2 linked regions of the Canis lupus familiaris genome follow. The protein of the gene in region 1 purifies or fractionates together with the protein of each later gene. This does not show direct contact. Links are inferred from orthologs where the notes say so. Each region holds a gene or a part of one and is shown in the gene's direction. Other genes may lie near its edges. The genes, in order: ARHGEF2 and MARK2.

The links.
Region 2: the proteins of ARHGEF2 (region 1) and MARK2 purify together in Homo sapiens (affinity purification with western blotting; 3 studies listed by BioGRID and IntAct, with this or other methods). This does not show direct contact. The link is inferred for Canis lupus familiaris from reciprocal best matches to the Homo sapiens genes ARHGEF2 and MARK2.

The regions. Positions count from the first base shown.
Region 1 is NC_049228.1:41,818,986-41,823,497, forward strand, and holds the start of ARHGEF2 (rho guanine nucleotide exchange factor 2), read left to right. Parts: upstream 1-1,651; 5' UTR 1,652-1,670; coding exon 1,671-1,797; intron 1,798-3,838; coding exon 3,839-3,906; intron 3,907-4,202; coding exon 4,203-4,266; intron 4,267-4,512. UniProt on the Homo sapiens protein: Activates Rho-GTPases by promoting the exchange of GDP for GTP.
Region 2 is NC_049239.1:53,608,188-53,611,982, reverse strand, and holds the end of MARK2 (serine/threonine-protein kinase MARK2), read left to right. Parts: intron 1-662; coding exon 663-707; intron 708-1,349; coding exon 1,350-1,710; 3' UTR 1,711-3,567; downstream 3,568-3,795. UniProt on the Homo sapiens protein: Serine/threonine-protein kinase. Involved in cell polarity and microtubule dynamics regulation. Phosphorylates CRTC2/TORC2, DCX, HDAC7, KIF13B, MAP2, MAP4 and RAB11FIP2. Phosphorylates the microtubule-associated protein MAPT/TAU.

The DNA.
Region 1 (4,512 bases):
GTAGGTATCAGAGCAGAACAGAGACCAGAATACTGGAGGCTCGGGTTGGAAGGTAGGCTTCCCTAACAAGGCCTGGGGTATGGGGGCAGGAGGGGGGAAGGTCAGGAGGGAGAAGCCAAGGGCAGTGGGGAAGCCGTGGGGTGGGGGTGGCGGGGAGACCTGGAAATAGGAAGAGGAGGAGACGGAGACGGGAGAAGTAGGGGAGGTGGGGAAGGACCCTAAGAGCTCCAGGCTCTGCACACAAAGCTGGTGCTTCTGCAGGGAGCCAGGGGACAGAGGACCCTGGCCTGGAGGCTCAGGGTACCATGGCCCAGCGCCCTCTGGCCCCCACACTGTTGACTCAGCTCCTGCACACTTCCTTTTTCTGTCCCAGCAGAGCGCCTGCCCAGCACCAGCCCAGTGTGGTTCCCCCCCAGCCTCTCAGCTGCTGGTGTGTGGGAGCCAAGTCAGGCTCAGGCCAAGGGCTGTCCCCTGGCTCTCCATTCTGTGTCTCAGGGCCCCAGCCAGTCAGTGTCCCCCACCTTGGGCACCTGCCCTTGGCCTCAGCAGTGTGGAATTTGCTCTCTTCCTGAGGAGCTCAGAAGTCGAGGAGAGGGGAGTGGTTTCGCCAGCCCTGTCCTGTTTGCCACCATCTCAGAGGGATATTGGGGGTCTGAGGTGACCACCTAGGAAGGTCCTGCAATAGGAGAGAAGGAAGGCATCGCACATCTTCTCAGGCTCTTGGGGAAGCTCAGGGATTTGAGGGCCAGAGAGTACTGGGAGAGTGTGGCTTGACCTGCAGTGGCTGGTGCAGCAGGGATGAGAGCCACCAGCCTTTGAGGTTCTGGGGACCATACACTGTGCCCCATCTTGCTAGAGCCCAGAGAATGGCATTGCAGCCAGAGGATGGAGGGTAGATGCCAGAAAGGACTCAAGATGGGAGATGGGGGAGCAGGGAGAGTGGGGGGAGCAAGAGCTCTCCCAGGTTTCAGAGGGGAGCATAAGGAATAAAAGTCAGACTTCCTGCCGGAAGCAAGGAGACCCGTGGGCTGAGTTTCCTTCCTCAAAGAGGCCAAAGCCAGGCTCCAGCCTCTCACAGAGGCCCTGGCTTTTGGGATCTGACCTCTGGGTTGGGGGTGGCCACGGAGGCATTCTGGCCTCCAGCCAATCTACTAAGGGCCCTCCTGCCCCCCACTATGACGGCGGAGCCTGGGCTCCAATGCTGGTTGTCATGGTTATAAGAGCAGCTAACTCCCATAGATTTGAAAGCGCTGGTGAGCTGGCACCCTCTGCTTCGCCTGCTCTCCCCTCCTCTCTGCGCATCTTCCCCCAGCTCAGAGGAGAGCGTACAGCAGCCCGGGGGCGAGCAGAGCAGGGCTGGGAAGTGCAGGGAGGACGTGAGGGCCAGAGCCGGGGAGATGAGTGGCCACAGGAGGCAGCCTAGCCGCAGGGGTCAGGTAGGTGAGGGCCAGCCAGGCCCTTGGGGCTGGCCCCGGGCACCCTTGGACAGCTGCCTGTGACACTCTGCAGCAGGCCCTTCTCTGGGAAGTGCCGTCCTTGCGGCAATCCCAGTCAGGCATCGCTACCTGGCCTCTGCCCTCTACCTGTCTCTGGGGCACCGCTGGGCACCTGCCATCTTGAGCCTCACTTCTTGTCTCTCACCCCTTCTGCAGAATCGGGAAAAGGAGAAGATGAAGGAAGCCAAGGACGCCCGCTACACCAACGGGCACCTCTTTACCACCATCTCCGTCTCGGGCATGACCATGTGCTATGCCTGTAACAAGAGCATCACAGCCAAGGAAGCCCTTATCTGCCCAAGTAAGTTGTTGGGATCCTGACTGTCATTCTGACTCGGTGCCCACTGACCCTAACCTTGCCATCTGTCCTTTCTGCCCTGGATTCCCTGGGTCATTCTCTTAGAGCCCTGGCAGGGCCAGATGCTTGATCCCTTGTGCCTCTTGCCTCCGAGGGGCGGGGGGTGGGGGTGGGTTGGACTGGGGCTCAAGCTGGGCTCTCTGGGAGCCCGGGGGGTGGTGCTGGGGTGGCTCCCCTTGCAGCTGTCGTCCACTGGGTGTCCCCTGGCTTACTGAGCAGCTGCTGAGGGTTCCGGGAACTGCTTAAAGAAGGATCAGGAAAGTCCTGGGGAGGAGGGGATGTCAAGCCAGCCTTGCACCTGCTTCTGCCTGTCTTCCTGGGCAGAACTGGATGGCCAGGATTTCAGGGACCCCTTGCTCCTCCCTTTCTATCAACTGGGGAGAGCCTGAATTATCTTAGTCTCTGCAGTTTGAAGTAGAGGACGGGATGAGGACCATCTGTCTCAAATTTCTGGTGTGACCAACAGACAGGGAGAAAGAGGGAAAATACCAGGAATGTGTTCTGTTGGGGGAGAGGGGTCAGAGCTCCCGACTTCAGCACGTCCGTATTTAGGAAGTCAGAACGGGGCATTCTTCCCTGGGATGCCCACGTGCTGGTGCAGAAGGCCCCTGCGGCCCCAGGTTGTAGCTGAGCTGCCTCTGGCCCTGCTGCTGATGGTAGGACCAGGGCCCTAGCCTCTCATTCCCTATGGAAAAACCAGCAAGGTCTTCCTGCTTCCTCACTAGCCACCTTAGACTGGGGAAATGAGGAGGGAAGCCTGGTCTAGATCCCTCCAGACCTGACAGAGTTCCCTATCGGGAAGCTTGTTGCCAGGGGAACCGGGGAGGCAGGCAGCAAGCGCTATTTTGAGAGCAGGTGGAAAGCGGAGGTTTGATCCAGAGACACTGGGTGCCGGGGGTAGAAGAAGGGAGCTCTAGGGGAGTGGGGCAGCCCCAGCCCCCTCCGGTCCTCCCTTCCACCCCACCCTGCTCGCCTTGTATTTGTGGAAGTGAGCCTGGTGCTGGGTATTGTCTGAAGAAGGTGGCAGAGTTTCCTGTGTTGTTGGACGTGGCGGAGGAAGCAAGATAGGGCAGAGGGCTGAGGCATGTTGGGGACAGAGACAGCCAGCGGTCCTGCTGCCAAGGCCTGACCGCTCCTCTCTTCCCTCCTCCCCCTGTGGCAGGGTGGGTGATGGGGCAGGAACCAGTGGAGTGTGGGGAACTGCGGGCTTGCCCCGGGTGGGGAACAGGCCCCGGGCCTGGAAGGGGAAGATAGGAGTCAGAGGGGAGCAGTGGGGAAGGCTGGTGGGCATTGGAGACAGATGGGGCAGGGCCTGTCCCTGCTCCAGCAGTGGGTCCACCAGCCTTTGAATGCTTGGGCCTGGCCATAGTTCTTGGGTGCATGTGTGGTGCACAGCAGGAGCGTGGCCTCTGGGTCCAGGCACACCTGGGTTTCAAGCCCAGCTGTGCTGCTGGCTGCCTGGCCTCTGGCAGGTGATTTGACCTCTTGGGGTGGCGGGCTCTTCATCTGCAAAATGAGGAAAATTGAATCTGCTCCAAAGGGTCGTTGGGATCAAGTAACTGTGGAGCACATGCTATGTGCTCCGGGGATGTTAACCGCCCCCTGCCCCTGGCCCCCATCCCAGCTGCTCTATGCCACCTCCTGTCCCGTGGGCGTCCTCTTCCATCTGTCACTCTCAGCCACCCCTGTGCTCCTTGAGCTCATCTCTGGCAGCCAGCAATTCCTTTGGCCCACCCCTCAGGTCACCTCTGAGTCAGCATTGCTTCCTTGTGGTCGCCACCTCTATCCCCTCACCTGATTTCCTGCTGGAAGGAAGGGGGCAGAGGTGGCGAGGGGAGGGACGGGTCTGGTCGTGGCTGTGAGGTCTGGGAAGAGGTGCCTCAGCGGCTGTGTGGCCAGGGGGAGACGGGTGCCTGCTTGTGGGTGTGTGTCCCCTCCTGTACCACCCGGCCCCCCCTTCACCCTCTCTACCCCACCCTCCCAGCCTGCAATGTGACTATCCACAACCGCTGTAAAGACACGCTCGCCAACTGTACCAAGGTCAAGCAGAAGGTGAGATGGCAGGGCGGGCAGTGGGCTGGGGAGAGGGTAGTGAGTGTGCCCTTCCCATTCACTCCTCACTCTGTGTTCCTCACTGTGGGGCAGCCCACACCCTGCACCCCAGGCCCCATGCGGCCAGCCCGCTGCTCTGGACACCTGCCCCCTAGCGTGGGGCTCAGCCACCCTCATGCCCATGACCGCTGTGCTGGCTTCCTCCCGAGGTGCTAGCTGCCCAGCTCCTGCCCAAGCCTGTGGGGGCAACCCCTGGTGACAGCTGTCCTTGGTGTCTCTCTTGCTCTGTCTCACAGCAACAGAAGGCTGCTCTGCTGAAGAACAGCACTGCTTTGCAGTCTGTTTCCCTTCGCAGTAAGAGTGAGTAGTGGGGGCACGCAGAAGACCCCGTGCAGGATCCCCCCTCTCCCCGGGACCCTCAATGGGACCCCAGGCCCCTCAGCCTGTGGGCTCTCCTGCCCCTTGAGGTTCATTTCCTGCATGGTGCTTTCCCCACCCCCCATTGGAAGTGGATGGTGAGCCATAAGAGGTGTCCAGGCTCCTGGTCTTAGGGGCAGGGCAGAAATCTAATGGGGGTGAGGCTTGGCTGGTGGTTTGAGCATTTCC
Region 2 (3,795 bases), on another chromosome or scaffold:
CTGCCCTGCCCTCTGTCCTCCCTTCTGTCCAAGCAGATGGCCTGGCAGCCTGGCAGGCAAGGGAGCTCTAAAAGAATGAGGGAGACAGGCTTGTCCATGGATGGCCTCAGGGCCAGGCACCCATCCCCAGGCCCACTCACAGTTCCAGCTCTTGGCCCTCTGAGCCTCCTGAGAGAGGCTTCTGTCCAGCTCCCCCAGCATGTCCCCCAGTGCAGCCCCTTCCCTTCAAAAGGACTGTACCTTCAGGACCCAGGTACACTGGCGTCGAAGACCCATTCACAGCGTGAGACCCTGGCTGTGGGCTGGTAGGGGAGCTGCCTCACGCTGTGGCTGCGTGCTCGATGCGTGTGCCTGTACATCCCTCCTCCTCCTCCTCCCCCAGAGCAGAGGCTCCTTCTCCCCAGCACAGATGTCTGGGAGCGTGGGGAGGGACAGGCCCCACGTGCTGGGCTCCCTGCTGGAAAGGGACAGTTGAGCTGCCTGTGTGAGGTGCTGCAGAGCCATATAGGCCTGCCAGGCCAGGTGATGGGCAGGTGACCTTGGAGCTTGGGTCCTGCTCACCGTCCAGTGGCACCTCACCAGACCCACCCTCACCTGGGTCTGCGGCGGTGGAAGGAGCGAGAGGTCCCAGCACTAAACTCTCCCTCGCTCTGTTTTTTGAGGAACCTGAATGAACCTGAAAGCAAAGACCGAGTGGAGACGCTCAGGTGAGAGGGCTGGAGCCAGCACCAGCCCTGCCCAGGCCACCGGGCTTGCCACAAGCCTCCTGCTCCTCTCTTCCTTCTGCCACCTGGCTCTTCCTCCGGTGGTTCTGCCCTGTGCCCGCCCTCTTGGGGCCTCCCTTTCCTCAGAGAAACCCCAGCCCAGCTGCCGAAGGCATGGGTCCTTCTCCCATCTGGTGCATTCTGGAAGCAGGAGCCCTAGGCTGGGCGGTTGGGGCTACAGATTCCTACCGACCAACCAGCTCACCTTTCTGTACCTCAGCTGCTGCTTTCTGCCCGTCTGTGAACCGCTCAGGGCTGTTGAGCACGTGCTCCCTGTTTCTCTCTGACCCTCCCCTCGTCAAAGACAAGCATGGAACTGTTGCGCCCTCCCATTCCCGCCGGGGCCTGGCTTTTCCTCCCCTTCTCTGCCCTCCCTGAGAGATGGAAGTCACAGAACAGCCCACCCCTCTCACCCTCCCTCTGCTTCCCCCAACCAGGTCTGATGCTCCCTCCTCTGGCACTGTCGCCTCCCGGGCACCCTCCCGCTCTCCTCTCTGGTCTCGGGGGCTGTCTGCCCGGGTGGCTCTCCCGTGGGTGGGGTGCCTCAGCCCCCCACCCTGACCCCCACCTCTGCCCTCTCCGCAGACCTCACGTGGTGGGCGGTGGAGGCAACGACAAAGAAAAGGAAGAGTTTCGGGAGGCCAAACCGCGCTCACTACGCTTCACGTGGAGTATGAAGACCACCAGCTCCATGGAGCCCAATGAGATGATGCGGGAGATCCGCAAGGTGCTGGACGCGAACAGCTGCCAGAGTGAGCTGCACGAGAAGTACATGCTGCTGTGCATGCACGGCACGCCTGGCCACGAGAACTTCGTGCAGTGGGAGATGGAGGTGTGCAAACTGCCGCGGCTGTCTCTCAACGGTGTCCGATTTAAGCGGATATCGGGCACCTCCATGGCCTTCAAAAACATTGCCTCCAAAATAGCCAACGAGCTCAAGCTTTAACAGGCTGCCGGGAGTGGGGGGCGACGGAGGCGGGCCAGCTGGACTTAGCTGCTGGGGCCGGGCTCCAACCCACCTGGGCGAGACTGTGGAGATGGATCGGTGTGTCTCCCCCTGCTGGCACTTCTTCCCTTCCGCCCTTCTCGGTTCTTTCTTCCATGTTTGTTGGGTGGGGGGGGGACGGGAGATGGTTCTTCCCCTCCCCCAACATTTACCCCTGCCCAGAAAGTCCCCCTTCCCCCCTCTCCCCAACAGGAGGCAAAGGAAGGGGAGGGAGGTGGGGGGGCAGGGCTCCCCCTCGGTACTGCGGTTGCACAGAGTATTTCGCCTAAACCAAGAAATTTTTTATTACCAAAAAGAAAAAAGAAAAAAAAAAAATCCCAGCGGCCACCTTTCCTCCCTGCCCCATTGGGACAGTTGAGACTGGATCTGTGGGGTTTCCCGGGAGGGTGGCTCAGGGCTGGAACACTCTCAGGCAAGAGTGGTGGAGTTCCCTGTCAGGCCCTCCGCCAGGCCCACTTTGGGCTTCTCCCCTCTCCTTCCCCCCTTCCCCTGCAAGCAAACCACCAGAGGTGGCCTTCCCCTGACCTCAGGCCACGGGGCTGGAGGCCTACCGGGCCGGGCTGGGGGCGGGGCGCTGCGCTGGGTGGGGGTGGGGGTGGGGGGCTGGCAGCTGCCCTGGGCTGACTGGTGAGGCCCGGGCCCTGGCCCCCTCCCTACTGTATCCTCTGCCCCTCCTTCCCCAGAGCTGGGCATTTCCTTCCACAAGCTGCTGTGGGGACTTTTGTTCCCCTCCTCAAAACTCTGTGCCATCTTCTCCCACCCCTCCTGGGTAGAAGGCGGGGCTGACCCCTGGGCCGGAGAGGGAGGGGACGGATGCAGGGCAGATTGGCTCCTCGGCCCCCAGGGGGCCGCCTGGGCTGCTAGTCTCTGAACAGGGATGCCAGGCACTCTCCGTTATGGGAGAGCCTTTGTCTGAAAGCACAGCCCCGTGCTGTTCCTCTCCCCTGCCCCCTTCATTGGCATTAATCTGGGCACCAGCTCGTTCCATAGCAGTGACTCCCCTCACCACTCATCTCCCGGCCTTGCCTTTTCTTCCTGACATTGTCGCCCCTCCTCTCAGGAGACACTGCCCAGGGCCTCCATGGCCACCTGGCAGGAGGCTGGACAGGGCAGCGGGGCCGGGAGCATCTGCCCTCCCAGGGGGTGGGGGGACAGATAGGCCCAGCGACTCCCAGCTTGCTAACCTCCTTGGCCAGTGTGGGAGTGGCTGGTTATGGGCGCTTGGCTGGTGGCGGCCGCTGCATCCCTTAATTTATTTCTTTGCTGTTTCTGTTCCTGAGAAATTGGGGGAGGGAGGTCCTGCACAGAGGCTGCCCCTGCCCTCACCTGAGTTGTACATTTTTTTGTGATGGGTTTTATTTTTTATTTTATTATTTTATTTTTTCTTTTTTTGATTTATGATGACTCCACCCCTACTCATCACCCCCCACTCCCAGCCCAGGCTCTGAGGCAAGTCGAGCCCTTGGGTTCCAGGAAGGGGCCTAGCCAACCTCAGCCCTCCTGCCCCAAGCCCCAACTGTGGACTCTGAGCTGAGCTCAGGCTCAGACCAAGGGCTCCTCCTCCCTCCCTCCTTCTCTCCCTTCCTCCCTCCCAACCCCTCCTGCCCAGTGGAACAGCCCGGGTGCTCTGAGGGGGCCAGGGGGCCAGGAGGGCATGGCTTGGCTCTCAGAGGGGGGTGGTGGCCCATGGGGGGGGGCTCCCAGGCAAGGTGGCCCCTCCCCACCAGCCCACCCCCCACCCGCACTTAGTTTCTCCTCTGGATCAAACACGTAATAAAGAGAATGTTTGGAATCTGAGCTGCCTCCTCCTGTTTCTTCTCCCAGCCAGGCAGGGACCCAGTCCCTGTGGGCAAGATGTGGCTCAGCCCGCCAGCCTTGCAGGAGAGAATGGATTCCAGTCTGGGGCCTGGGGGAGGCCGGTGCTGGGTGGCTGCTCCCTCCCATCCTCAGGGCAGACAGGAAGCAAAGCCCAGGGCCCTCAACACCAAAAGAGAGAGCACTCCGTGAGCGTGGAAGATTTTATTT